Linked DNA regions of Lonchura striata. The protein of the gene in region 3 interacts with the protein of the main gene of each other region in a biochemical or structural test. Links are inferred from orthologs where the notes say so. Each region holds a gene or a part of one and is shown on either strand. Other genes may lie near its edges.

Region 1 (7,074 bases), on a different chromosome or scaffold from region 3:
CAGAAACTCCAGCAAAAACTGTAATTTAGAAAAGAGACATGCAAGAATTATTTCTAACAGGCTACACAAAGTATGCAGAAAAGCTCCCACTTTCCCTATTGAGAGACATTTCTTCCACCACAGACAACTTCATGAAAGCAGAACAAAAAATATTTATTTTTATTAAGATACTAAATGACTTTGAAGTTAAACACCTCCCAGCAGCATCTTGCCCCCTTGCAAACAGAAAGTCCTGCAGACATGCAGGAAATGCTCAAGAGATTATCCTGGCAATATTAGCACAGAAAATAAGTATTCTCAGCTTCTCTCCTACAAAAGCATCAAATCCTAGCAATTCCAGTGAGAACTGCAGCAAAATACTCCATGACTGAGCAGAAAGCACCCATGAAATATGTATGGACATATTTTTACCGACAAATCAAATACCTTAAGTCTGCAATTTTAATTTATTAAGTGTATTTGGACAAGTTTGGAGTAGCTGCCCAGCTATGTAGGAAACAGGTCTCAGTTAGTTTGCTAAATGATGTTCTTGGCCAAAATCAGTATTAAGGACTAACCTTGCCTTCTTTGAGGTCAATGCCTTGTTTTCATTTAATTTGCGACCACCGCTTTCTAAAAAAAAAAAAAAAATCAATAACCCCATTCCAACATTCCAAGCATACTTTAAAAATCCTCATTTACAACTTTTACACATATGCAAATAAAGTCACGAAGAGAGATTAAATATTCAGCACAGCATTGGAGACAGGGTAACAGAACACTTTATGCTCTGTTTAAATACTCTATGTATTGTCCTCCCATGCAAGAAAGAAAAAAACTCCAGAAAACAAAACCAGACCAATTCAATACCAAAGAGTTCTGGACAAATAAATTCCCAATGCATTAAATCAGCATGGGAGGGAAAGTACATGACTTAATATTTAACATGATTAGTAATATAAAGTTTTGGTCTTAAGATGTTAACATAGCTCAGGTGCACAGCTGGCTTTATAATACCTCAAAACCAAGCTGCTAAACCTTGCTGAGGTTACCTGTAGTGTTTCTTGCACCATCTTTCCATGTATCAGGAGTGATCACTGTTCCAAGCTTCTTCTCACCTACATAAGGAAACATTACAAAGGAAAAAGCTAAGAATCACGGAGTCAATTACGTTGGAAAAGCCCTCTGAATTTGTCAAGTCCAACCTGTGACCAATTACCAGCATGTACCTCGACCTTGGCACCGAGTGCCACATCCAGTCTTTCTTTAAGCACCTTCAGGGATGGTGACTCCACCACCTTCCTGGGCAGCCCATTCCAAGTCTCCATGACTAGGAAAGAATTCTGAATGTCCAACCTAAACGCGCCCTGGTCCAGTTTAAGACTGAGTCCTCTTGTCCTGTCACTGGTAGCCTGGCAGAAGAGGCCCGTCCCCACCTGCCTACAACCTCCTTTCAGGGACTTGAGGAGGGTGATGAGGCCATCCCTGAGTCTCCTTCTTTTCAGACTAAAAAACCCCTACAACCTCGGCTGCTCCTCATCACATCTTCTGTTCCAGACCCTTCACCAGCACTGCTGCCCTTCTGTGGCCTTGCTTTGCCACCTCAATGTCTTTTTGTAGCGAGGTGCCCAGAGCTGAACAGAGCACCTGAGGTGCGGCTTCACCAGTGCCGAGCACAGTGGGACAATCCCTTCCCTGGCCTTGCTGCTCACGCTAGTGATGATACAGGACAGAATAATTTAAACGATGCACATCGATATGTGCCACAGGCGGAGAAGGACAGCTCACACAGAGGAGAAGGACAGCTCACACAGGGGAGAACCACAGCTCACACAGGGGAGAACCACAGCTCACACAGGGGAGAAGGACAGCTCACACAGGGGAGAAGGACTGCTCACACAGAGGAGAAGGACAGCTCACACAGGGGAGAAGGACAGCTCACACAGGGGAGAAGGACTGCTCACACAGGGGAGAAGGACTGCTCACACAGGGGAGAAGGACTGCTCAACAGGGGAGAACCACAGCTCACACAGGGGAGAAGGACTGCTCACACAGGGGAGAAGGACAGCTCACACAGAGGAGAAGGACAGCTCACACAGGGGAGAAGGACAGCTCACACAGGGGAGAAGGACAGCTCACACAGAGGAGAAGGACAGCTCACACAGAGGAGAAGGACAGCTCACACAGGGGAGAAGGACTGCTCACACAGGGGAGAAGGACTGCTCACACAGGGGAGAAGGACAGCTCACACAGAGGAGAAGGACAGCTCACACAGGGGAGAAGGACAGCTCACACAGGGGAGAAGGACTGCTCAACAGGGGAGAACCACAGCTCACACAGGGGAGAAGGACAGCTCACACAGGGGAGAAGGACAGCTCACACAGGGGAGAACCACAGCTCACATAGGGGAGAACCACAGCTCACACAGGGGAGAAGGACAGCTCACACAGGGGAGAACCACAGCTCACACAGGGGAGAAGGACTGCTCACACAGGGGAGAAGGACAGCTCACACAGGCGAGAAGGACAGCTCACACAGGGGAGAAGGACAGCTCACACAGGGGAGAAGGACTGCTCACACAGGGGAGAAGGACAGCTCACACAGGGGAGAAGGACTGCTCACACAGGCGAGAAGGACAGCTCACACAGGCGAGAAGGACAGCTCACACAGGCGAGAAGGACAGCTCACACAGGGGAGAAGGACAGCTCACACAGGGGAGAACCACAGCTCACACAGAGGAGAAGGACAGCTCACATAGGGGAGAACCACAGCTCACACAGGGCCCTGCCGGGACCGCCCCCCGCGGCCTGCCCTGAGCAGCCCGGGACCCGCGGCTGCCGCTCCGCTCAGGGCAGCCCTGGATCCGCTCAGGGCAGCCCTGGATCCGCTCAGGGCAGCCCTGGATGCCCTCGGGCAGGCCCAGGCGGTCGGGCAGCCCTGGATCCCCTCCGCCCCGTACTCACACTTGTCGCACACCATGGCGCCCCTCCGCCGCCGCTTCCGGCACCGCCCCGGAGGTGCCGCCGGCCGGGCCCCGCCGCCTTCCGCTGCCGGGCGGGGTTTGGCTTTTCGAACGGGCGCTGCTTCCTGCCCCAGCACCCTCCCCTTCTCCCGCCGCCGGGCCCGGAGCTCCGTCCCGGGCCGGGGCGATGCTGCGGCGCTGCCCGGCGCCATGAGCGGGGCGGAGGTCGGGCGGCTGCTGGCTGCCAACCTGCTCCGCGCTCTGGCCGTCGTCCTGGCCGCCCTGGCCCCGGCTTTCCTCCTGGACGGATTCAGCGTCCTGGGAACGCACCTCACCTGGCTGTGTGTTTGTTCTGTCTGTGTTGCTGCCCTCGATATAATCTTGCACTTAGTCCTTAAACCAAACCAGTCTCCTAAGAGACGTTCCTTTGCTCACAAGGTAAGACTTTTAAAAAAAATTCTTACGTTGTTGCCAGTCAATCCAGAGGGGAAGCAAATTCTCTATCTCATTTAAAATAATCAAATGAAAAAAAACCAACCGATTTTTGATGGTGAATTCTCATTTTCTATCAGTGAGTTGAGTGTAGCATCTCTTGAAACAAATTTTTCAGTATTTTCATGATGTTAAACTTTCCCTACCTGTAAGTAACCTGTTCAGATGAGTGAGTCTATGCTTTCCTGATTCTTGCCAATGCAATATTGTTTATTGTCCCAGGAATTTGCGTGGTGGCAAAACCTGGCAAAATTAAATGGCACAGAACTAATTTTGTAGTCCAGGCCTGACTCATCTTCTTGGTAAGTGGATATACCAGGAAGAAATGTCATCACACGTTCCTCATGTGGAGTTGTAAGTTTGTAATAACTTTAAGAGGAAAAAAAATAAATTCAGAATCTGACACATAAAAGAGATACTATGCTACATTTCAACAACTGAAAAAAAAATTACATGGAAAGGTATTAAAATGCCTGCATTTCCTCGTATGATGAAATTTGCATACAGATCTTAATTTGGGAGAAGCTTTTTGTAGTTAGTTTGCAACGGGGAGTGTTAAAGGTGTGAATCCCAATGAAATACTTTGGAACAGAGTGGTTTTGGAGCAGCACACGACTTGCCCAGCAGTGGAGGAATACCCCAGGGTTTTGAAATCGGGTGGGGATAGTCTCACTCCTGACATGCTGAGCCAGGCAAGATGTAGTGCTCTGAGGTGGTTCTTAAATGTTTAAGTGATCTTCCCTGCCAGCATCTCTTTGTGTGCAAAGCTTGTGTATAGTTTTGCTGACTGAGGAGGATATGAAATGCACAAAACCATGATGGAAAGCAAGTATTTTAACCATCCATAATTTAAAAATGAAGCACACATCATGTTCTAGGTGAGATTTTATCCTAGGAAGAAAAAATAGGTAGGAGTAAATATAGAAAAATAAGGGAAGTTACAGATTCAGAACAGACCTGATCAAAACAGACCTCACCAGAACTGTGTATAAAGTGTTTTTGCCTCTACGTGATACAGTGAGTACCCAGAAACTGTTAAGTTCATAGAAAAGTGTATATATATAACTTACAGAAAGTTATGGATATTTCTCAAATATATTCAGAATTTAAGATGCCAAGTTCAAAATGTAGTTTTAGTTAATGTAATTTTGAATCTTTGTTTAGCAGACTTTTAATATATTGTATGTTTTCTTGCTTTTAAATTTTTTTCACTTTTTGTGAGAGTTGCTTTTTAATGAATGGATATGACAGATGTAAAACAGAAGTGTAAAAATGTCCAATAAAATTACTTCTGCTTATCTTGTAATTTCTGGTTATATTTTTTGTATGTTTTCCCTGTTTTAATGGGATGCGTGAAAAAAAAAATTGTAGGTGGATTGTGATGATTTTAAATTAATTATTTCAAGTACTAATATATGGAAAACTGTTTTGAAATATGCCATGCTATTATATTGTGCTTCAGCTGAAATTAAAGTACTAATCAGAATACAATGCACTTGATAAAGATTTAGAGGGTGTGTGTTACTTATGTTCTGTTTTGAAGCATTATTCTGATATTTCATTGCTCTTTTTTAGATATCCAGATTTCTAAAATGCTGTATATACTTTTTCATGTCTTGCATACTATTTCATGCGATTATTGTTCTTTATGGAGCACCTCTCATAGAGTAAGTCAAAAGACCCTCTCTTTCTCTAAATATTCTAAGGGGCAGCTCTCCCTGCAGATGTTGGTATAAATACTTGTGTATTTTCTCGTACACTAGAAGTTAAGGGATAAGCTCCTAGCTGGGGGAAGAAAGGTGGCTGTTTCAGCTTTCTCTTGGTTTTGGGTTGGTGGTTGGTTTTTTTGGGGGTTTTTTTTGGGTTTTTTTTGCTTGTTCAGTTGTTTTGTTTGGAAGCCAGCTTTTAAATGAGACTTCTATAAATAAAAACTGTAATACAGTTACAAACAGCTTCTTTAATTTTTATGTTCGACATATGGGCACAAATATTTTTTGTAGCTTTATTTAGTCATTTTCCCTATATGATTCTAAACCACATGGCTTGTCTTTCATCCTTTTGATGTTAGTGTTTTAACTTTTTTGAAAGTTTAATGAAAGAAGTGTGAAGCAACCTGGGTTTTGAAAGATATACTAAGTTGTTGACTAACAGTAGTTTAATGTAGTTTGGTTTCATGGTTGCTGTTACAACTGGAAAAATGGAATCATTAAATTGGTAAATATCCAAGAATACTTCAGTTTAGAACTAATGATCTATGTGAAGTACACCTGTGGTTTTTTAAAAATATTACAGGTCTCAGCCATTTCAAAAAATTACTACATCTCACTCTTGAGATAACAGCAGAACTCTTTCAAGCTTCCTTTACTATTCTACAGAGTAAGAAAAAAATATTTTATTCCTTTATATGAAGTTTAAGAAAGCGAACATGCTTTCACAAGTTGAATGAGAGGGACTTTGTTCTTCCTAAATCTTGGAACTTTTAGAAAAACCACCTCACTTAATTTTGTAATATTCTTTTTCTTTTTGTAGGTTAGTGACTGAGACATTTTTGTTTGCAGTTCTTCTGTCTACATACACTACTTTACAATGCTTGTGTTTGCTGGGACCAAACATACAGGCATGGATACGGGTATTTAGCAAAAATGGGTAAGTCCTAATCTAAAGTTTCTGATATTTCTCTGAATAGAAATGGACAGAATTGGTACAAAAAATATATAATAGAATTTTTTGTAAAGAAAACTTCCTGGATGATGGGTGGATTTTGTATTTGTGATTACAGACATATGAGAGCTCTTCTGACAAAAAGATTTATTTGAAGACACCGATTCAGAAAAATGGCTTTTTTTTTTTGGTGTTCAGATGCTAAATCTCACTTTATATGTGTTTGAAGGAAGTAATGTTTCCAGCCCATATTCTACTGGAGTAAAAGCATTGTGCAATCCTGTATGATGGTTGACAAATAAAGGGGAGACCTGACACTGAGCTATGCATGGAGAATCTTACACATGATCCAGTAGTACCTTCATAAATGCAACTTTTAAAGTAGGAAAAGGAAGTCAAAACAAGCACTGTTTGAAACTTGAGTGTAATGTTGAAAATTATACTATGTTCTTAAGTATGTATTATTAACCCATACTATTTTCAGTTTCAAAGAAAGCTGTTTTGAGTGTCAGAGTTTTCAGGCATTAATTTTTGCAGGAGTATGTTTAAAGTAAAACAAGCCTTCTAACCACATTTTCACCTCCAGTGGCAGCCATGGCATTAGCATGTATCAAGGATAATGTATTTTTCAGAAGATTTCAATTTCTTCTGCCTTTTTTCATTCCATAAATAATAGCATGTTGAAAGACTGGGACACTGAAGCATAAAGAGGCTTCTATGCTTGAGATCTGGTGAGATTTTAGTATTCATTCCCTTTTAAAAGTTCATAATGGCAAAGTCTTATCTCAGAAGACAGTGAAAGGTTGTATTACACTACTGACCTATGGAATTTTTTTTCGTTTGCACTCCTGTAGAGGAGAAGACTTAAATACTACTTTCAGGTATTAAATTTTGGTTTATCTCAGTTGTCAACTTACTGAAAAATATCTTGGATCCTTATTCAAGTAATTTACACTTTTTTTTTTCAGTGGCAGTGTAAA
Region 2 (7,330 bases), on a different chromosome or scaffold from region 3:
GGACATCACTAAACTGCACAATTTCAGAAGTAACACACAGAGTGCCTCAGAAAACATTCTGGTGCTTGCAGCATCAAGAAATGCAACCATCAAAGAAAAGACATTAATCCAAACCTTCCTTCTCACCCATGTGCACCAAAAAGTATACAGTACTGCAGAAATTAATTAAAACCCAAATAAACCAGAAAAACATCTGAAGCATTAAACAGCTGATTTAATGTCTCCACCTTTAAAACCTTTTCTTCCAAGTTCAAAATTTTTTTCCAAGATGTGCATAAATACTGCTCAGAGAAAACATCTGATTAGAAGACAAGCAGCAGCAGTGTGGTTTTTAAAGACACACAGGCCCATTTTCATGCTCTGCAATGATTTTGGGAAGATGCTGTCTCACTTTGCTGAAACAAGGATTCTTAAGCAGCTCCTCAGGAACTGAGGGTTCCAAGCACAATGTCCTGTACTGCACATATATCAATATCACTTTTAACAGGATCTGGCACAGCCCAACCAAGGATTTTGGCACTCCAGCACCTCATCCAGCCTGCCTCTGGATAATATCCATGCCCAAAAGTCTCTGGCCACAGGGGACACTGAGACAGGAAGGGGCAGGAGAAAGGGCAGAGCACAGAACACAGGCACCTCACCTGGACTCACTGCAGTTCCTTCACTCTCCAGCTCCCAAAGCCCAGGTGAGCAGCAGCTGCTGAGTGTTCTGGAGCTGCAGGAGGAACCCAGACCTCCATTTCCCATTCCCAGCCAAATGCTGAACTCCTGGCTGCCTCTCCCTTTTAGCTGGACAGAGGCAGCTACCCTGAACTAACCAGGCTTCTCTAACACCTGGTCCTCCTGCCATGCCCTGTTGAACAGCTCACTTGGGCTCCAGGTTTTCTCTTTTTTCCCCTTTATATGACACGGTTGGAGAGCTAAATCCATGGCCATGTGTATAAGGAATACACAGGCAATTTCCCAGCTACCAGGAATGGTGGGTAACAACTCCATTGGAGCCTTGCAAAAAGAATCCTGCACAAAGTGATGAAAAAAATTCAACTTTCACTTCCGCAGCAACATCAGCCTTCAAGCAAAGCCACTGCACAGGCAGAAGTCTTCATTCATTAATTATCTGTTCAAAATGTGCAGCTACAAAAAAAATTCCATTTCTTCCTATGATATTTTTTTATCATTAAAGAAACCACACCATCTTTTCCACAAATTTCACGGCAGAACTGCAGCCAGCTGCTCCTTTTAGAAATACCAGCCTAAGCCCAGTGTAATGGCCTGCCTTAACACAATATTCTAATAAAAAAAATTAAAAATAAGCCATCAGTTCCATTTGTCACATTATTAGGCAATCTTGAGCAAGAAAGTCGAGGTTCAGCATTCACTAATTTTCTTGCTGGGAGCATATGACCAGTTAAAAAGATGCGTTTGGGACAAAATCTCTCTCCCTACCAAAGGCACATCTGGGCAAAGATTCCTGAAATACCAAACTCTTCAACTGTGAAGGCAAAACCTTTTGGTTTTGCTACCACTTAACTTTTTCCATAAAGCCAACAAAATCACCAAGTGGAAACACCTAAAAATCCAGGCCTGAAAGTATTTCTATCACAAACATAACGCAGGAATAATAAGCCAGAGCTTCTGGGTTTTTAACTAAAAGCCAAGCAGCCACTTGCTAAACTCCAGAACATTTCAGGTTGTTTTAAAGCCACCAAAATTTTTAGGCCAAGGCCCAATGCAAGAGCTCTGTACTAGCTACAGCTTTTATCCCGCTCTAAAACTGGATTTATTTGGAGCACTTGCTCAGACAGACTGTAATTGCTCCAAAACCCAATAAATTTCCACCTAATCCCGTTGCAGAACGGAAAACATCTCTCCACAGGGAGAAGTCCAGCTCCGAGCACTACTGTCAGTACTCACTTTCCCAACTTCTAAGCAAAGTTCTTGCCCCAAAACCTCTCCCACAGCACCAATCTTTCACCAGCACGGAGAAAGACCCTGGCGCCAGCAGAGCCCCTACCCACCATGAACGCTGCAGGGCATTCCAAGCTAAACATCTGCCTGATTCCGCTCCAACACATCTGTTCCAAAGGCCACTAAAACTACACACCGGCTTTTGCCTCATTAGCCGTAATTGCACGCTAATTACTTATTCCAGAATAAGTATTCTATACAATCCTCCTCGATGAGACCCGACGCGCTCTCGTTTGTGACACATCCTCGTGCAGCTCACCGGGGAAAAAAATGGTGGGTTCTGGTTGGTTTTTGTTTTTTTTTTTTTTAAATTTAGAAGGAGTGATTGCCACCTCTTGTCATGGAGAGCCTTGCTGTATCCTAAGGTACAGCTCTGCCTTAGTGGAGGGCTGGAAATCAGGGCAGAGGACACAGGCTTCGACTGAAGCAACCCGAGGAAAGCCACAGGCCTTGCCACGATTATAATCGCAACTTAAGACGAGTTACTAAATTAAAAAAATATCTATCTAGAAAGCGCTGTGCACGCAAATCACGTCGGGTCGGGCGCATTTGCTGCGTGAGCCCAAAAGCCAGCAGCAGAGCCGGAGATAAGCGGCTGCTCCGGAGCGGCCAGGGGCTCGGGGCCGGGGGGGCACGGCCCCTCGGCGGCTCGGGGGGGCCGCGGGCCGGCCGGCAAGGAGCGCTGGCGTTAATCCTGGAGCTCCCGTTAATCTGCCGGGCCCGGACAAAAGGCGGCCGAGGCGGCGGCGGCGGCGGGGGAGGGCGCGGCGGCCCGGGCGAGCCCCGGCGGCGGAGCGGCCGGGGGCAGCGCGTTAGGTAACGCCGCGCGGGTCTGATGCAATCGCGGGACGTGCGGGAGCAGGAGCGGGAGGAGGATACAGGTCAGGTCCAGGTCGAAGCCATCCTCCTGGTATCGCCTTTTGTTCCTGCTGACGATCTCTTTGATGATGGCGGTCATGTCTGGCAGCCGGGGGCCGCTCCGGGGCAGCGCGCAGGGCCCGGGCGGCGGCCGCGAGGCACCACCGGGCGGCCCCGGGCGCTGATGCTCCGGCGGCTCAGCCCCGGGCGGGCCCGGCTCCCGGCGGCGGCACCGGCTGCCGCTCCCTCCTCCTCCTCCTTCTCCTCCTCCTCCTCCGAGCGCGTCGGGAGCCGCGCCGAGCCCCTGCGGGCGGTGCCGCCGCCGCCGCCGTGTTTGGGGCGAGCGCGGCGGCGGCGGGGGGAGCAGCTCTGCGGCGCTCCGGGCCCCGGCAATGGTGACAGCGGCGCGGGGCGCGCCCCCGGCCCGGCCCCGCTCCGCTCCCCGCCCCGGGGGCCGGGCGGTCGCTCCCTCGGCTCTTCCCGGCGGCGGCTCCTCAGGGCGGCACGGCCGCGCTCATCCCCCGGCCCGCAGCGCTCGCCGGCGCGGGGCGCCCATCATGGCCGCGGCTTCCGAGAGGGACGGCGGGCGGCGCCGCCACGCCCACGCGACGCATCCGCCAACACACAAAGTAGTCCCTCCCACCCCGCCGCCGGAGAAGCGGACACGCGGCGGAGCGGGGGCACCGGGGGAGCGGATCGCGGTGCGGGCGCCGTCCGTACCCCTCTGCCCGCCGGCTCCCCTCGCCGCACGGAGTGGGCGGGGGAGGGGGGAGCGGCGAGCGGAAGGATACGGGCGGTAAGGTGAGGCGGCGCGGTGCTGCGTTGGGTCACGTGGGCGCTGGCGGCGGCGCCTCCCCCGCGGGCGGAAGTGGCCGTGAGGGGCCGTGAGGGGCCGTGAGGGGCCGAGCCCCCCGAGCCGGGACTGCCGCCCCTCGCCTCCCCGCCCTCCTCGGCCGGGCTGGCCGGGAAGAAGGCAGGGGGAAGAACGGGCTCGGTGCGGCCCCGCGGGGAAAAGGAACGGGGGGGTGCTCAGCCCGGCGTCTTGAAGGGGCTTGTCGTCCTCCCCTTACGCAGCCCGGGGGAAGCGGCGGTGAGCGAGCGCCTGTCGCCCCCTGCAGCCACCGGGCACGGAGGGAAGGGGGCTTTGGGCCACCTGCTGCCCTCGGAATGGCAGAGTCATTGAGGCTGGAAAATCCCTGCCAGCCCGTGGAGTCCCAGCTGTGCCCAGTGCCCACCTTGTCCCCAGCCCAGAGCACTGAGTGCCACCTCCAGGGATGGGCACCCCAAAGCTCCCTGGGCAGCCCCTGCCAAGGCCTGAGCACCCTTTCCATGGGGAAATTCCTCCTGATATCCTCGGGGTAGCCTAGCTCGGGGACAGGGGCATGCCAGTCCCCCCAGGTCAGGCTGGCTGGCCCAGCAGCCCGTGGTATTTCCATGGAGCTTTCTGTCCATTCTCCTTCCCACAGTGATCACAGTTATCCTGGCAGGGAGAAAACCCTGTCTACAAATGTCTAAAGCAGTCTTTATAACTGTCTAAAAACATTAGGGGAGAAACCCCATTGTACAAGGCTCTTTGCACTCTAAGCTGAGAACTGTAACTGTAAATTTTGGGAATTTAATGTTTTGCAGGAAAATGACCTTTAAGGACTCAAAATAAAGTGGAACATCAGGTGGAGGGATTTCCCAGGCTGCTGCAGCCTCCAGCCTTTGCAAATACTCTTATATAATTCCTTTCAGCAACGTATCAAGTTGCATCTTGAGATGTTTTACCACCACTATTCCCAGAACCTCCTCCTGGTTTTCAGGCCAAATATATTTGGGGCTGGTCTGCATCCACTTATCCTCGTGCCAAGCCTGGCCTCCAGGAGCACTTTGTGGGCACAGAGATCCCTGTCAGCCCCCTGGATTTCTACATTCCTCCTTCCCTCCAGCTGCAAACCCCAAACTGAGAGAGTGGAAGTGTCCAGGGCCAGACTGGAGCAAGGTGGGATGGAGTGGAAGGTGGCACAGGGTGGAATGAGCTGGGTGGAGGTTCCCAGCCACCCCAGCTTGTTCTGTGTCTGAGTTTTAACTTGTGTTCCCACCTCCTGGCTCTGTTTTCAGGTGGGAAGTGTTCCAACATGCCAAGGGCTTGGGGACAGAGCTGCCACCAACACTTTTCCCCCATACTTCCCAGTGCATTCCTTTTCCAGAGAGCCCATTGCACTGGAGCTATGCATGGAAAACCCACGTGAACTCAGGGAAGGAAATCAGTCACGACCCTGGGCACAATCCCTCAATATCTGGGTAAACTGGAGCCCAATCCAATCCACACCTCCTGCATCCCCACCACCCTGAAAAACTGCACTTCCCCACGTCTTGGAGATGTATTTTTCCATGGGATTTCTTTCAGGGGTTGCCACCACAACCGTAAGTTTCGAGCTGCTTTTCCTCCTGTGTGTGTGTTTGCGTTTCTCCTTAATTGCACCAAAACAGATGTCACTTTTTTCCCAGGAGTGGGAAGAAAACCAGAAGGGTCCTAAATATTTTCCTCCAGGAATGAATGAGCACAATGGTCCACACGAACTGAAAAACAAAAACCCCCAGAAGATTATAATCTTTTTTTACCATCAAAGCCTGCAGGAGCAGCGTGAAAGGGAAGGACTTGCCTGATCAAATCGAAATAATTTCTTCCGTGAAGAAATTCCTGCTGATGTTCCACCTGAACCTCCCCTGGCACAGCCTGAGGCCATTTCCCCTTGTCCTGTCTTTGGAAAACCTTGGCTGGAGAGAAGGGCTGAGGAGAAACTGCCAAAACTCCGGGTTAATTACGGCTCTTAGATCTCGTCATTTCCACCTTTTTCCTGGATGTTCTTTCACTATGTGTATGTTGGGAATACGTGAGACACGTTTTATATCGGTTATGTACACATGTGTATGTATAAAATATATAACTATATGAAATATGCCTATATATGCATATATGTGTTGCTTTATATTTATAATTTTATATTTCTCTTCACACGATGTATACGTTATGAACACAAATGTTACGTGTTAGCGGTGTGAAAAACGCCAATCACTTGGTTCTTAAAATTTTAAAAGTTTAATAATAATACTAAAATGGTTATAAAAATAGTAATACAATTAGAGTAATAAAATCGAGAGTCAGGACAATTACAAGACAATAAAAAGCAAAGAATTACGGAGGTCCGGATGTTCTTGGATACTAAGGAAAAGCATCCCTTGTGAACAAAGGAATAACCTTTAAAGCAATAGCCTGTTGCATATTCATATATCTCATAATTGATGCATAAATTCCTTGCAAATTAAGAACTTTTCTAGTTTTTGTCAACTTATTCCCCTTAGTCCTGGTGGTTCCATAAAGACAGAGAGAAGGTGGAAGAATGTCTTTTTCAATAAGGAGGCTGTAACTCTTTATGGGTCTCTTTCGCTGACATCTCTGTGTGAAGAGTTTCTTGATTATCTCATCCGCCTGCTTGAGATTGCAACAAATCCTTTATCGCAGTTTCTATTTTTACATAGTGTTGCAACCTAAAACTACATTTAACACACTACTTAAGAGAATTAAAACAGCAAAACTGTCTAACATTACACATATAATATTGTATAATTTGCGAAAAGCCAATCATAAAACATGCATTTTTCACAGTGGGGATGGAGCGGAGCTCCCGCTGTTCCAGCCGGGAGAGCCGTGCCCGGGGGTGCCGGTGGAGCCGCTCGGTGCTGATCCCGGCCCTTCCCGGCCCTTCCCGGTCGATCCCGGCCCTTCCCGGTCGATCCCGGCCGATCCCGGCCCCGCATCCGGTGGGCGGAACCTTCGCGCGGGCCGCCGCCGGCCGGAACCTTTGGGCGGGGCGGCGAGCGCCGCCCGGACGGAGGAAGCGCCGGACGCGCCGCCGCCGCTGCCGGGCCCTGGGCGCCGCCGCCGGCGTTCGCTCCGCTTCTCCCGCCGCTCTTCCTCCTCCTCTCCGTCCTCCTCCTGCGGCTCGCCCCGCCCCGCGTCCCGGAGAGCCGCCGCACGGTGAGTGACCCGGCGGCACGGCGGCGGAGCGGCCCCGCCGCGCCGCACCAGCCGGGCGGCGGGAAGGTCACGGGCGGCGCGGCCCGGCCCGGCCCGGGGCAGCCGTGACGGGGCCGCCCGGCACCGGGGGGAATCCCCGCGCTGCAGGGGCTCCCGGGGCAGGCCAGGCTTTCCCGGCAGTGCCTCGGTTTGCCCTCGGGGCGGAACGGAAAGCAGCGCCGCTGCCGCTTTTGGTTTCCCTTCTGCGCCTGAACGGGGAGAGCGGAGCCGCTGCGGGCCCGGCGTGAGGAGTCCTCGCCTCAGGGAAAGCAAACGCTGAGTTCCTGCGGGTTTGAGCGTTTGGGTGTCGTCAGGAGTTCAGCTTCTCTCGTGTTCAAGCTTTTCCTTTCGGTTGGCGCTCAGGGCACGGGTTGCATAAGGAGCAGGTTCCTGCACGGGGATTTTGGGGAGGTTTTCTCCTTGCCCAGTGACTGCGGAGCC
Region 3 (6,829 bases):
CAGTATTTGATTGCCAAGTCAAAAATTATACTAAAAAAGATGCATGAAGTTGACAGCAGATCCTGACTACAACCTTCACAAACCTACCTACTATGGGCCAACAAGTCTTGGATATAGTGCAGTAACTTGGCAGAAAAAGGAGAAACTAAATGGATGAAGTTTGGTGGGGATTTTTTTTTAGAGTTATTCTATTAAAAAAAAAAAAAAAAAAAAAAAAAAAAAAAAAAAACAGAAACTAAAAGTAGCACACTTTCTGGAAGAAGGATCTACAAGAGAAATAACTCAGTATAGTTGAGCCACATTGAGAACATCATTTGGCTATTTCAGTTGGGAGCACATCACAACTTCTATAAAATGCACACTTCAAATTGAGCCATAAAGCAATAACCAACAGAGAATTCCAGGTAAGTCTAACCCCCAGCACAACTGAACATTTCATCCAGCCTGCTCCCAGATCTTCATGGAAACAGGACAAGAAGGAGCCAGCTTAAGGCCTTCCCAGTAACTGAAGCCATCCTCCAGATCACAGCCTTTCCAGCGAGCCTCCCCACTCTTTTTTACCCCCATCATGCAGTAATCACACCATAAAAGAAGGTGCTTCCAGGAAAACAACAGCCAGGAGCAGCCTGTCAGGGACAAGAACTCCCTTGACATTTGCACAGAAAGTAACAGGTTAAAGGAGAAAGACCCAAGTTGAGAGCATAAATTGCTTGGCAAGTACCAGCCTTCTGCCAGATGGTTTGGGAACATATGTATGCAATCTAATAAACTATCACACAGGGACCCAGGAAATGCAAAGTTAATGCAACATGCCCAAGAAGCACCTGCTGTGCATGCACAGATGAACTCAACAAGAACTAGGGTCCTGTGGTTGCAATGTGCAGCTTCTTACAAGTCCAGAAAACAAGTGACACAGTCCACCCAGGCAACAACCCATTCCTCCTTTCTGCTCCTGCAGACATGAGGCTGCCTGCTCTTTCAAGTCCACTACTACTACTAGGTGTAGAATTATAAACAATGAACATTTATATATGGAGGGGAAAAAAATACATCTTGCAATTTGAATATCTAAGTCTAACAGATTGGTATCTTTTCAATGAAGGGGAGAAAACAGAGTACTGCATGGACCTTGAAGAGTTTTAAAATAAAAAACCTTCATACATACACACACCCAGAACAAGAAAAATGGCAGTCAACACTGAAGTTTTCTGGGTGAAAATAAAAAGTGCTGCTGCTGTACATTAAATATTTGACACAAGATTTCAACATTCTGATCTGCCAAAGAGTGAATCCGTTCACATGGTCCCACAAGGATTATGTTAACTCTTCATCATGGAGTTGATTAGCATCAACTGTCTAGTGAAGAGAAATGCAGAGTTCCTATAAGGAAAAGTCTTTTAAGTGACCTATTTTCACAACTACCCCACAGGAAGCTACATGTTAAGGAAAAAAAACATCACAACCACTCTCTTCTGAAAATCTACACATGATAAAATAAACACTCCAGAAGAAAGCATTCAGCAGCAACGCATGTTTATGCTTTTCCTGTCCCTGTGCTTTCACCAGAACACAGGTTGGAAGAAGCTGCAGGCCTGTGAAGGAAGATGTGCACCCTAGCACAGTAGCCATGTAGTAAGTCAAGTAACAAATATAGCTACAATGTTTGCCATTAGTCCCACCGATTCAGACAGTGGTTACTATTAAAAGACAAGGATACAGAACAACTTTTATTCTTGAGGGTAAGCTAACATTGACTGTCATAAAGATAGTGACAATCAATCAAGAAGAAACCACTTCTCACTGTTTCTCTGCAGAAGTTTCCAAATAAAGACAGGATTCTGCAAGTTCTATTTATGTTCAGGGTTTTTTTTTTTCAACCAGACCGGCAGGAAATTCAAAATTACATGCGACTTCTTCTATGAACTTATGGGAACATATCAAGTCAAGCACTATAAGGACTGTAAACTGAGATCTAAAAGTGCTTTCTCTATACTTTTATATGCAACAAAGGAGAATACTCTAGTACTCCCTGAAGCATTAGAGGTTTCCTCTCATTTACTTTAGGTTAAATTTGCACTTCAGTTATACACTTTGTGTTGTTTTTAGAGAATCTTCAACCGGAATTGCGGCTTCCTTAGACTAAAAACATTTCAATTCATTCACTAACCTGTTACATACAGACAGAAAAAAAAACACACCCTCCTTAGAAATTTATCAGGTGAACAAAGATGCATGGAGAAACAATCTCAAGAAATCTAGGACAACATGTCACAGAATTAAGAACTATTCCAGAGTTTTAAGCAGTTTAGACCAGTTAAAAACCTCAAATAAAGAAAGTACGTGTAACAAGTGAACTGTTGATCTGTAACAACACGTGTGTTACTATGCAAAACAAAAACACAACGACAAGCACATGGCTTTTAACTTACGGGTAAAACACCTTTTGCTCTTAACAACACAAGCGACAACATCAGCAAGAACCGACCGGCTTGCGCACGAACTGAAAGAAGCCAACGTTTACCTATCAAAGCCTGGAAAAGGTTACTTTGGAAGATGCTGATGACACGCTCGATGGAGTTCCGCAGCTGCCGATCCTCCGCCTGGCTCAGCTTGGAGCGGTATTCCTCCAGGAGGCGCAGGGCTCGCTGGGTATCTGCAAGCGGAGAGCAGGCACACTGTCCGGGGCGCACCGGGCAGGAGCCCCGGGGATGCAACAAGCCCCGGCGGCCGGGACCGCCCCGGCCGGCGCGGAGCTCCTTTGTTCGCAGCCGGGAGAGCGCGGGCGGGACGGTGCCCCCGGCGCGCTCGCAACGCCCGCAGCCCCGCGGCTCCCGCCAGCCGCCCCCCGCCCGTCCCGCCGCGGCAGCGGCCGCCAGCCGGCGGCTCCGGCGGCCCCGGCGGCCGCGGCCCGGGCGCGGAGCTCACCTTGCTTGCGGACGGGCATCGCGCCCCGCGCTGTCCCGCCCGGGGCTGCCCCGGGGCTCCGCCGCGCGCACTCGGAGCGCGGCCCGGGGCGGCGCGGGGGGCGGCGCCCCCTGCCGGCCGGGCGCGGGGGGTGGCGGCGGCCGCCCCGCCGGACCGGCCCCGCCGCCCGGCGAGCGAGCGGCTCCGCGCGGGGCTCCCGCCGGCGCCGCCGCGGCGCGATGCGGGGCGAGCCGGGCCGGGCCGGGCCGGGCGGGACAGCGCGGGGCAGGCGGCGCGGCGGGCCGGGGCCGGGGCGGACGGGGCCGGGACGCTCCCGCCACCTCCCGCCCGCACCGCTCGGAAATTCCAAACTTTCCAACCAAAATGGCGGCCTGGAGGCTGGGGGAGCGCACCCCCCCCACGTGACCGGGCCCGGCGGGCGCCCAATCAGGGCCCGGCGCGGGGCCGGCACCTTGGCGGCGGGGGGGGAGGAGGCAGGTGAGCGCTCCCCGCCTTAAAGGGGCCGCCCCGCCCCGCCCCGCCCCGCCGCGCCCGCCACCGCCACCGGCACCGGCACCGGCACGGCGGCGGCAGCGCCGTGAGAACCGGCCCCGGCGGAACCCGCCCCGAGCGCCCCTGCACCACATCGCCGCCGCCGTCCCCGGCGGTGGCGCCCGGCGTGGGCTGCGGGAGGGCGGGAGCGCTCCAGGTGTGCGCCGGGTACCTGCGGGATCGCCTGTCCCGGGAGTGCGGGAGTTTCCGGGCCACTCGCACCGAAGCACCGCCATGGTGCCGTGGGAGTGCCGGGCACGGAGCGGCTCCTGCCGCGAGGAAGCGCAGGTGGAGCCGTGCCCGGCCGCGGGGAGCCCGGGGCCGCCTTTCGCAGGGCCTGGGACAGGCAGGAGGGCTGAGGGACCTCGCTGGCCTCACCGGCCTCCGCAGTCAGTACCACACAGAGCACTGCCACCCACCTGGTGCTGGGGCTTTTCCCTCAGTCGTCCTGGAAGAGCAGGATGAGGAGGAAGGACTCGAAGAAAAATAAATAGCTTTGGACATAAGGTCAGCATAAGGACATCACAGGAGAAAACATAAAAAGTTTAAGAAATGGGCTGTATAGGCTGACATCAGGGACTGGTCAGAATAATGATAGTCACTTTCTCAAAACTGGCATGGAAATGGTAATAAGTTATTTTCAAAGGCAAAACATCTTGTTTTCTTTTAAGATGGCAAAGAGGTAACAGCATAGAAATAGGTGCCTTGGACATATGAGCTAAATGGTCTTTGCAGCATATTCTATATACCCACTAAAAGGAAATGTATATTAAAGCTGGTGGATGTAGGAGCATCCCTTGCTCTAAGAGGGAATGTTAACTTATCTCTCAATGAGATGGACAGTCAACCAGAGCCCCTGATCTGATACACTTCAAACCCTGTAGGTATACATGTATGAGAGGCAGAAAGAGACTTGAAAGTTCAAGGCAAATACTGCAGATGGGGGGGTGGGGGGGGGGGAGGTTGTTTGGTTGGGGGTTTTTTTGGTTTTTCATCCAAGCTCACATTTCCATTTACACTTGTTAGATTTAAGCACAACTGAAAATGTTCAAGAACTTACCCAAAGAACCTAAAAAGAGCCTCCTGGGCAACTCTCATAAATTTGAAGTCTAAAAATCAGATCCAGACTTCACTTTGGCAAGCACCTAATCTTAAGGAATATTACACCATGACAGATCTAACCTAGATCTAGAAAAGGCCTCTCTCTTTTCCCTCCCCAATAGTCCTATGTTTTGTTCTTTGATTTGTGTCAGGAGTTTCTCCTGCTCCCATAGCTATGTACTGTGAAAGTGTTCACACATCTCATTGAAGCAAGCAGAAGATACATTTAGTGCTGACACACAATTGCCCATTTTCTTCCTTTCTTGTTGTATTTTCATATCACAGAATTTTGGCACCAGCTGGTACCAGTTCAGATATTTTGAAATGAAAGCAGGCTAAGAAGAGACATTGGCAGAAGCCTCCATCATCTGGCCTCATCAGTTTTCAGTGTTTACAACAGCAATAAATGTGCTGTAAAGGGGCAATAGCCCTCTTGATGTCAGAGGAATGTATATACAGAAGGAGAGGAAGAACAATCTAAATTTAGCTAGCAGAAAGGAGACATCTGCAGCATTTTGATTGGTTTTGCTGACTGACAAAAATGTATTATTACAAAAATAAACTTTTTTTACTATTAAAGGAACCACTATAAAGAAACTATTTTTTTATATACAGTATTTGATGTTTCCAAGTCTTTTTTTATTTTAAATAAGAGATAATCCCATTACATACGGTCACTGTGCTGGGGATAGCGAAATAATCCCATATATAACACCCTGAGACAGCATTTCTCACTTGTTACTAATGCTCTAGGGGAACAAAAAAAAAAAAAAAAAAAGAAAGAAAGAAAACATCAAAGAGGGGGTCAGGATGATGGATCAGCAAGTCAGGAAGCAATTAGGTGAGCTTTATTGTACCTCAGAGAATGATGTTGCTTCCCGGCACTTCTGTTTCTGTTCTAGGAGTGTATTTGCTGATTGAAAGCAGTTGAACCAGAAACACAGTATTAAACTTCAGTATGAAAAGTGGGTTTGAAATTCCAGCACATATAGAAAATATCCCATGAATGGAAAATTACTTTTTGCTAGCAACATTACAACTAGAGACAGTGTTGCAAAATTGTCCTGTGTTACATATCATCTTCTACAGGCTCCAGCTTCCAGGAAATTGTGTAGTTTCCTTGGAGGAGGGGAAAACTGAGTGTGAACCAGAGCATCATTTGTGCCACGACTTTAACAATATCATTTAAATCAAACCACTACAGGCAGCATACAGAAAAGCTTGTACTCTAAACTGTGACTGATGTGGTCAGTATAGAAGTCAGCATTATGCTTAACACGCCCTGGCTGTGCTCCAAAATGACCCTTGGCATAGGAACTCCAGGACAATTACACAAAGCAGCAGCCCATTGCCACTTTAGTCCTCAGATGCATCTGAGGATGTGACCAGTGGCCTTTTCCCACTGCCCTCAGATTTCCTTTAAAATCCCTTTTGCAGCTGCTGCCAGGAGTGTGCCTGGGATGTTCTGCTGGGATGGTCTCTGGTAGGGACAGGCAGCTTGTTGCAGCACACATACTGCTTAGGAGGGATGTGTAATACAGAACCAGGCAGCTTTTGGCAACAGGGACGCCGGCACAGCACAAGCTTTTCCCCTGGAAAACCTTCTATAACAGCCACCTGATCCTAGCCCATGTCATTTGTACATGGGGGGGAAAAGCAGCCCTGTGTCAGAGCCTAATAATCCCAGTTTCATAAACTATAGTGAAACAGAGATGATGTTTTCCCACTTTGAGAAACTATGCCAGAACTTGTTGGCAGCTGCCTGCTCTGGCAAGTGATCATAGTAGTGAGCCCTGCCACAGATTTGTACCTGATCCTACACCAGCTCCTACTCCTCAAAGCAGTCCAGCTGCCACTTTAAAAATGGCTCTTTCTGCTTTAGAAACTTCACCTGGTCAGCTGGCACCACACTACAAGGAGCAAGAATGCTGACAGGCTTCTTATGTTTTGAGGCAATCACAATTTGGCCACAGGCTGGGCAGCAGGACATGGGGGGATTGACTTCATGCCAGCTACCTGGTGAACCCCTAAGTCCCACTGGAGCCAGCTGACAACGTGGACTTCTCAAACTGGCAGTGGCAGTGGATGTGTTGCAGATGATGTCCCACACAGTAACTGGAGAGGTATAATGAACTCAGAACAGGAGACTTCAAAAACCATTCCCTAGATTCACACACAATGTCAATCAACACAAGAACACCAAGAAAAAAATGACAGCAGACATCATCACATGGCAAGAATTTACAGTAATTAGTATGGCCAAAAAAATACA
Region 4 (7,623 bases), on a different chromosome or scaffold from region 3:
GTACACAAACCTCTTCTTTCTGTGGCCCACAGTGTTTCCTAAGATTGTAAATCATTCCTTTCCTTCATATATATTGATTTGTAACTTGTACACATTGTGCTCCGGTTCCCCAGTGAGCATTTTCTTCAGGACACTTTAATTACCAATTGAGCCCACAGGGAAGTTCTAGAGTATTATTCCACAGGGCATACACTGTACAAAACCTGTTAGGAGTGGAAAATGCTACCCAACAGATTATTCTGGGAAATGGAAGAAAAATAATCTCAAAATTCTGGACACAGGAGCTTGGCAACTGTGCAGGCTGCTCTGCTCCCAAATGTTCAGTAAAGAAAACGCTGAGAGTATTAAAGCCCATACACAGAAGTTTCCTGCAAACATTAACTCTTAAACATATGGAGTAGAGGTTATGGGACAGTTACTTTGAAGTATTTAGATAAAAAGATTTAGATTAAAACAAGTAGACAGTTTCTTAAGCCTACAAAAAGCTCTTTTGCCTTCTGGACTGTCAGGATAGCCTACAAATTATTCTTCAAAAGAACCTAGTTGGTACTCACAATATTAGTATTATAAAATTAAATAGCAATGTCTAGTTATTGTTATTACCATTTTCTCTCATGCTTTTGATCTCTCAGTTTTTTGTGAAGGCACTCTGAATGGAGGTATTCTCTAATCTTCCACATCAATTAACATTTTAAACTATGTTCTTATGCATCATTTTAACAATTCCCTCCAAACAAATAAAGAGTTTTTTATCCTATGCATTCTTCATGAAAAGCACTTAAAAATACTATGGTAACCCTCCAAATCCACCCTGGGACTCTTCTCACCTGGAATCCATGCTTTGAGACTCTGTAACAACTGCTTTTGCACAAACTTCTTTATTTTTTTCCTAACTCTTAAGCAGTATTGGGACCATGAATCTTTCTCTCAATCACACTTTCAACATTTCTTTCTACAGCTGTTCTTTCATGTTATATGGGAATTATGTGCAGAATTCTATTACCTATTCTCTGTTTCACAGTAAAGCAATTTGTTTAGCCACTTGTGGACTTTTCCTGTTTCCCATTAATATCAGCCTGAAAGTTTCAAATGCTTCATAAACGATAAAAAGGGAGAAAAAAAGAAATAAAAAAGGAGAAAAATGCTAACCCCGCCTCAGAGATATGCATGTGTACATCTTCATGAAAGCTCAGGGGAACAAAAAAAAAAAAGAAAAAAGATAGAGACTGTAATTTCTGGTCTTTAATCCCTCTCACTAGCACTGAGCAAATTGCACTGTAGTCCTAACCTTCCCCACCCAATTTTTCCTACGTGGAAATTAAGTGGTGTTTCGCACAGGATATTCTAGTTTGTGTGAAGTGATATTTGTAGAACAGGCAGACAAAAAAAACAGGCTAAAAGATTCCTTAATTCCATTCAGGTACACATCTGCCCTGTCCAAATATACATATTTTCTTTGATTTAGAGTGTCTAAGCTGTGGTTTTGAGCTAATGACTCAACTCACGTTTTCATGTTTCATGTGTTTCAGGAGACGCAGTTCTCGGTATGCTCGTTTGGCAAAGAGTTCAGACTGAAACGGGCGGTACAATTTCTTAATAGCCACTTTGGTACCACTTCTTCCATCGACGGCTGAGCTTTAAGGGAAAAGATAGAGTTCGGTGAGCAAGGACCGAAGCCTGTCTGCAAACCCCAGCAGACGCGGCCAGCACCGGGCAGCGGCTGCATCCTGCCGGGCCTCGGGCCCGCAGCCGCCCGCGCCAGCGGGGAGACCGGGTCCCCAGAGCACCTCTGCAGGCAGCCATCGTTTAAAAGCCTGCCAGATCCTGTGATGAAATGTAGACAATTATCAAAAGCTTTAAAGAGGAACATCTGCGGAGTGGGGGAAAATTCCCAAACGAGAAACAAGACAAAAAGATCCCACTAAACACACAAACCCACCACCAACGCAGAGCCAAACTGCGTTTGAGGGGCCCGCCTCAAGCGCTAAAACACCTCGGGCTCCAGGGAGCCGCTCCGGGGTGCCGCGAGCTGGGCTCGGCAGCGCGGCCGGGGCAGCGCTCCCGGGGCCGGGGCAGCGCTCCCGGGGCCGGGGCAGCGCTCCCGGGGCCGGGGCAGCGCTCCCGGGGCCGGGGCGGGGGCAGCGCTCCCGGGGCCGGGGCGGGGGCAGCGCTCCCGGGGCCGGGGCCGGGGCCGGGGCAGCGCTCCCGGGGCAGCGCTCCCGGGGCCGGGGCAGCGCTCCCGGGGCCGGGGCAGCGCTCCCGGGGCAGCGCTCCCGGGGCCGGGGCAGCGCTCCCGGGGCAGCGCTCCCGGGGCCGGGGCGGGGGCAGCGCTCCCGGGGCCGGGGCCGGGGCCGGGGCAGCGCTCCCGGGGCAGCGCTCCCGGGGCCGGGGCAGCGCTCCCGGGGCAGCGCTCCCGGGGCCGGGGCAGCGCTCCCGGGGCAGCGCTCCCGGGGCCGGGGCAGCGCTCCCGGGGCAGCGCTCCCGGGGCCGGGGCAGCGCTCCCGGGGCCGGGGCGGGGGCAGCGCTCCCGGGCCGGGGCCGGGGCAGCGCTCGGGCTCCGCTCCCTCGAGGGACGGAACACCCGCGGCTCGGCTCCCCCTGGCGGAACAGCCCGGCCCGAGGCGGCCAGGTGAACAGCGGGGCCGCCCTTGCACCCGCGGGGCCAGCCCGGGTCCGGACAACAAACGGGAAAAGTTGGCAGGGACCAACACGCCAGAGGGCCGGCCCCGGTAGCATCCCCGGGCCGGGACTGAGGCCGCCGCCCCCGCCCCCGGGCTGTCCCCGCAGCCCCGCTCACCACACGGCTCCGTAGGCGCCGGACCCCACCGGCTGCAGGTCCCGGTAGCGGTCCCGCACTTCCCAGAGGGTCTTGGTGATCTCCTGCCGGTAGAAGCCATTCTTGGGGGAGGACATGGCGCTGCCGACCCCCGCCGGCCCGCGCCGACAAAGAGCCCGGGCCGGGGGAGCGGGAGCGGCGGCGCCGCCGAGCTGGGCTGCGCCGAGGGGCCGGGCCTGAGCGAGCGGCACCGCCCGCCCCGCCGCGCCCCGCCGGCGGCACCGCCCGCCGCCGCCGCTGCCCGGGACCGGCGCTGGGATCCGCGGCTGCCCCGGGACCGGCGCTGGGATCCGCGGCTGCCCCGGGACCGGCGCTGGGATCCGCCGCTGACCCGGGACCGGCGCTGGGATCCGCCGCTGCCCCGGGACCGGCGCTGGGATCCGCGCCCGCCGGCAGCGCCCTGCATCCCTGCTGCCCGGCCGCCTGGGGCTGCGCTCCGCGGGGCGCGCAGGGCGCGGCGTCCCGGCGGCGGCGGAGCGAGCCCGCACACGGGGGCAGGTGCCGGGGCTCTCGCTGCCCGTGCGGACCAAACCCCTCCCGGCCGGCTCTTCCCCGCCACGGGGCCCCCTCACGCCTGCCTTGTTTTGCCTTTGTGCTCAGGTTCCGGTGAGGTGCCATCGCTGGGAGTACCAAAAGTGAGCTTTTGGATAGCCTCTGCCCTGAGACGAACTGATAGGTTCCCAGACCATCCCAGAATGACACTACAAGTTACAACAATATTTCATATAGTTAAATAAAAACCACGCGCTTGGTTCAGGTGCTCAGAGCAAGTGGTCCTGCGCATGGATGAAGTGAACTGGAATTGAACTGTTGCAGCACTGGCTTGAAATTATTGCAGTGTTGGAGTATGGACAAGAGCAACCTTCTCAGTGGCTCTGTAGTAAACAGGCCTGGGCCAGCAACACGTGTAAGGCAAAGACCAGGTTTAAAATAGGTTTTATGTGTTCTCTGTGTGAATATGATTAAAATTCTTGTCCTCCAGTGTCTGGTAAAGCCTTTGGTTTTTTTTTTTTACTTCACCCCTGAGCAATGTTGCTGAGGTTATATAATTTCAGATTTGCTGTCACTGGAGTTCAATTTGTGGTTTAGCTCTAAAGGGGCAATCTGGACAAGTTTCATGGCCATTTTGGTAGTTGCCAGGGGCCCTGCCCTTTTGGTGCCTGACTACCAAATGTGGAAGAGCTGCCCTGCCCTTGCTCCTCCCGGGGTACAGAAGAGCAGAGCCTTCCAGCTGCCAGGTGTTCCAGTGCTGCTCTCTGCTGACCTGTTCGAATCTCTGTGTTAGTGAGAAAGGAGAGCAACCCTCTGACATTTAGCAGTTAACATGAGGCTTTGTGAGAAGTGTTAGATCAATGGTAGATATTTACTTTTAAAAATCCAGGAGATTATTTTTTAATTTGTTACATCCCTTCTATGCTGTTTGCCATTCCGATGTTAGCTGGTGTGATATGTGGTACAGGTAAGGTGAAGGATAAAGTAGCTTCCTCTTTTTTCAAACTAGACCATTAGTTAAATTACTTTTAATTACCATTTTATATGTTTCTAATAGAGGCAGGATTAGTTTTGCTTGTCATCCCTCACCTACTTTTCCTTGATCTAGTTGTGACAAAGTGGTACTTTTTTACTGCTTGCTTTTTATCAAGGCAGAAATTAGGTTATTTTGATACAGTAGATAAAAGTACTAACTTAGCATCAAGAGAAGTTCACTCTTGTGCAGAAGCTAAGAATATTACAGAGCAACTTTTAAAAAACATTCTAAATGGACAAAGTTATCCACTTCTGGTTTTCCCATGTTTTTCCTTCAGTAAATATGTAGGCATACTTTGCTACAGATGGATGAAGTAGCTGTGTAGGTCAAATATAAGACCAGCTTTCCCACCAGGTCACACATACAGGAGATGAGCTGGTAAATTTACTGAAAAGACTATGAAATCAGCACTGTTGTAACAAGGGAAGCTTTGTCTAATAAACCATTCAAAATCTCTGTGAAAGGAATAAGTCAAGAACTTGGGTCCATCCACAGCTGGTAGATGTTAGAGCAGTGTCACAAACTGCATGAGTCTCTGCATCCTGCTAGGCTCAGCTGGATACGTGGTGACGTGTTTTCCCAAAGACAATTTGTTGCCAGGGGACTGATAGATGCTACAGCCATATCTTATTCTGGGCAATGTGTGCTTGACAGGATGGATTTAAAAAAGAGTGCTATCAGATGTTTCTACTTCTGGCATACATTTATTGTAAAGTTAATAGAAAAAAGGAACTTCTTCAGACATCATTAACAAAAAATAATAAATGCATTAATGGTGCAAAAATTGCACTTTGCTAATGTTCATCCTATAAAGGGAAGATTTAAGATGTATCAGAATGTGGTGGGGTTTTTTTAAGAGTCAGCTTTTGATGTGCTGGATGGTTGCCATCAGCTGCAAAGCATATGAGGTAGATGGGATGGGTACAGTACTTTTTCTAATCACTCTGGGAACTGAGAGCACAATTTCCCTCCAGCCTGGTGCTGGAGCAGAAGCTCTACAAGCAAATAGTGAGAAATCGAATAGTTTTTCTGAGAAATCCTACATTTATGAAGTCTGGTGAGAGAGTTTGATGGCAAAGCTGCCACCATAAGCTGTCACTGGGAGATGACAAAATGGCACAGACCTGTTTGTCAGGAGCTGAACTGTGGGTGAGCTGCTGGGCCCTGGGTGCAGGGAGAGGGGACTGACACTGATCTCCAGACCAGGCACTGATAACGTGCAGGAAAAGAGATCATACAAAATCCTTTGAAGAATCAAACATCTTCCCACCTTTCTGCCTGTTTATATGTCTGTCTTTCATATGATCATTTTATTCTTGATACACTAATTCACATATTAATAATTTGGCTGTGTAAAACATACCTTAAATGTCAATAAACAAAATCTTGCTGAATAGTCAAAAGCTGATTCCTAGAACATTATTTTTTAAAAAAAGTTTTCTATATGCCCACCTTCAAAAAATACTCTGTGCTTGTCTACTTAGATCTGTTGCCATGGAGGAAGTAAGTTAATTCTATTTATTACAACAGGAAGTAAAGTTTAAAAAATAGTAATTAAAAAAAATCTCAGTTTTAATAGGAAAATATTCTTGTGCTATTTTGTCCCCACCCTTCCCCACTGGAGTCACTGCCAACTATTTTGCAACTTTTCTGATTTTGTCTCTCTGCTCAATGAGCAGGGTGTTTCAGTTCCAGTTCTGTAACATGTAGCCTTCCTGGGGGCCTTGCCATGTTTCAAGGTCACTAAGCCATCAGAAGAAAGGAGTAAATAAATATATACACCTAAGTGCTTTTTTATTTTAAAAAATAATTAGAAGTATACATTACATTTTTTCAAGAGGTCAAGTGAGACCTTACTAGTAACTATATACTACCCCATTATCCCTGCTTCTTGGAGGTTGGTGGAGGAAGAGAGGCCAATTGTAGAGGGTAGTAGACACCTATATGAAAATCAACTACTTTTAATGCTCTCCTTTTCCTCCTCAGAATCCACCAAAAGGTCCTCTCCTACAACAGAAGGATTTTAATTTTTAAACTGTCACAGATTGTTGCAGTATGAGACGCTATAGTCTACAGAGTAAAAAAAAAAAAAAACTTAAAGAATTTCCCAACCTCAATGCAAAAATCGTATGAAAAGAGCATTAATGGATATCACTGATAGATAGCTTTACTCATTTAATATGTGACAATAATTGGAGCTGGGGGACTATGGGAGTGCAAAATGAAGCATTTGTATGTATGCAAGATTGAAGCCTAATTGAAGAGTTTTGCTCATTGAAATTGAGCAAAATTGAAATTTCTGGTCTAATGGATTAAGTCTCAGATTGGTTGGAAGATCAGTGTTCAGAAAGCTCACGATATATTCTGTCACTGTAGTGAAAACTTAGACCCTTTTAGGTGTATCAGTTCAATATTTTATTTTACAGCAGAAAGAAGGGCAGTGGCAGCAACACTAATGTAGCTTTCTAAATCTCTTGGTACTAGTGCCTTAAAACCCCTTACCCAGAGTCATAGATTAATGAGCCTTGGTACTCTCACTTGTGCTAGTGTGCTGATTTTCTAAGAACCAGCGTTCGCATCCATAAACACTATCAGCAGTAGCAGCAATGTGTGAGAAAAAAGCAGCTGCTCTTAAAGCAAATGGAAGTGTTGCTATTAATTCTTTCCTAGGGAGACTGATCTTGTCAAGGTTGAATCCCTTTCTGCTGCTAACAAAAGACATCGTTTACTCAATCGACAACACAATTCTCTTTTCATGAGGGCGAAATCTTTAACACTGCTCATCTGTCAGGGATTCTTGGGCCAAGTCAGTAATTTACAGATGTAGCAAAGGATACTAATTTGTGCTGGCAGCTCTGTATGGTACTTTTTGGACAGATTCATCTTTGATCAGGTCCCAAAGGTGGGTAAAGTGGAGGTCTGTTTTCTTGTTATGATCCAGGAGCACATGTGACAGGAAGAAAGGAAGGAAGTAACTTTTGTATTGACTGCTTCCCACCTCTGTCAAAGTTTCTTTTGCTGCCAACATTTTGTCCTTGAAAGGGTTGTTTCCCTCCTGACCCTTAGGGTGAGCTTGCTGTGTCAGATCCTGCAGCACAGGATCCTGACCCTCCTTCCCTCTTGCTTTCATCTGGTATACCACGTCAAAAAAAAAACAAACGCCAAGAGCACAACCTAGAATTCTGCCACAGTGCTGTCTAAATTATGACTCTAGCTATTGATATTGACGTATTTATTTTCATATATCAGTATTGATTAC

What was found.
Region 1: the proteins of DLG1 (region 3) and CRIPT form a complex in vitro, tested with the Homo sapiens proteins (3 studies listed by BioGRID and IntAct, with this or other methods). The link is inferred for Lonchura striata from reciprocal best matches to the Homo sapiens genes DLG1 and CRIPT.
Region 2: the proteins of DLG1 (region 3) and PTEN form a complex in vitro, tested with the Homo sapiens proteins (2 studies listed by BioGRID and IntAct, with this or other methods). The link is inferred for Lonchura striata from reciprocal best matches to the Homo sapiens genes DLG1 and PTEN.
Region 4: the proteins of DLG1 (region 3) and MAPK12 interact in a test that uses a peptide from one of them, tested with the Homo sapiens proteins (2 studies listed by IntAct, with this or other methods). The link is inferred for Lonchura striata from reciprocal best matches to the Homo sapiens genes DLG1 and MAPK12.

What each region holds. Positions count from the first base shown.
Region 1 is NC_134605.1:16,914,690-16,921,763, reverse strand, and holds the start of CRIPT (cysteine-rich PDZ-binding protein), read right to left. Parts: upstream 3,017-7,074; 5' UTR 2,959-3,016; coding exon 2,943-2,958; intron 1,098-2,942; coding exon 1,032-1,097; intron 613-1,031; coding exon 558-612; intron 1-557. Other genes in the region: PIGF (GPI ethanolamine phosphate transferase, stabilizing subunit), read left to right, coding at 3,152-3,379, 5,009-5,100, 5,963-6,079. UniProt on the Homo sapiens protein: As a component of the minor spliceosome, involved in the splicing of U12-type introns in pre-mRNAs. Involved in the cytoskeletal anchoring of DLG4 in excitatory synapses.
Region 2 is NC_134609.1:37,601,511-37,608,840, forward strand, and holds the start of PTEN (phosphatidylinositol 3,4,5-trisphosphate 3-phosphatase and dual-specificity protein phosphatase PTEN), read right to left. Parts: upstream 3,008-7,330; 5' UTR 2,927-3,007; coding exon 2,848-2,926; intron 1-2,847. UniProt on the Homo sapiens protein: Dual-specificity protein phosphatase, dephosphorylating tyrosine-, serine- and threonine-phosphorylated proteins.
Region 3 is NC_134612.1:15,040,731-15,047,559, forward strand, and holds the start of DLG1 (disks large homolog 1), read right to left. Parts: upstream 3,011-6,829; 5' UTR 2,945-3,010; coding exon 2,926-2,944; intron 2,654-2,925; coding exon 2,522-2,653; intron 1-2,521. UniProt on the Homo sapiens protein: Essential multidomain scaffolding protein required for normal development. Recruits channels, receptors and signaling molecules to discrete plasma membrane domains in polarized cells.
Region 4 is NC_134607.1:30,007,343-30,014,965, forward strand, and holds the start of MAPK12 (mitogen-activated protein kinase 12), read right to left. Parts: upstream 3,001-7,623; 5' UTR 2,914-3,000; coding exon 2,798-2,913; intron 1,636-2,797; coding exon 1,506-1,635; intron 1-1,505. UniProt on the Homo sapiens protein: Serine/threonine kinase which acts as an essential component of the MAP kinase signal transduction pathway.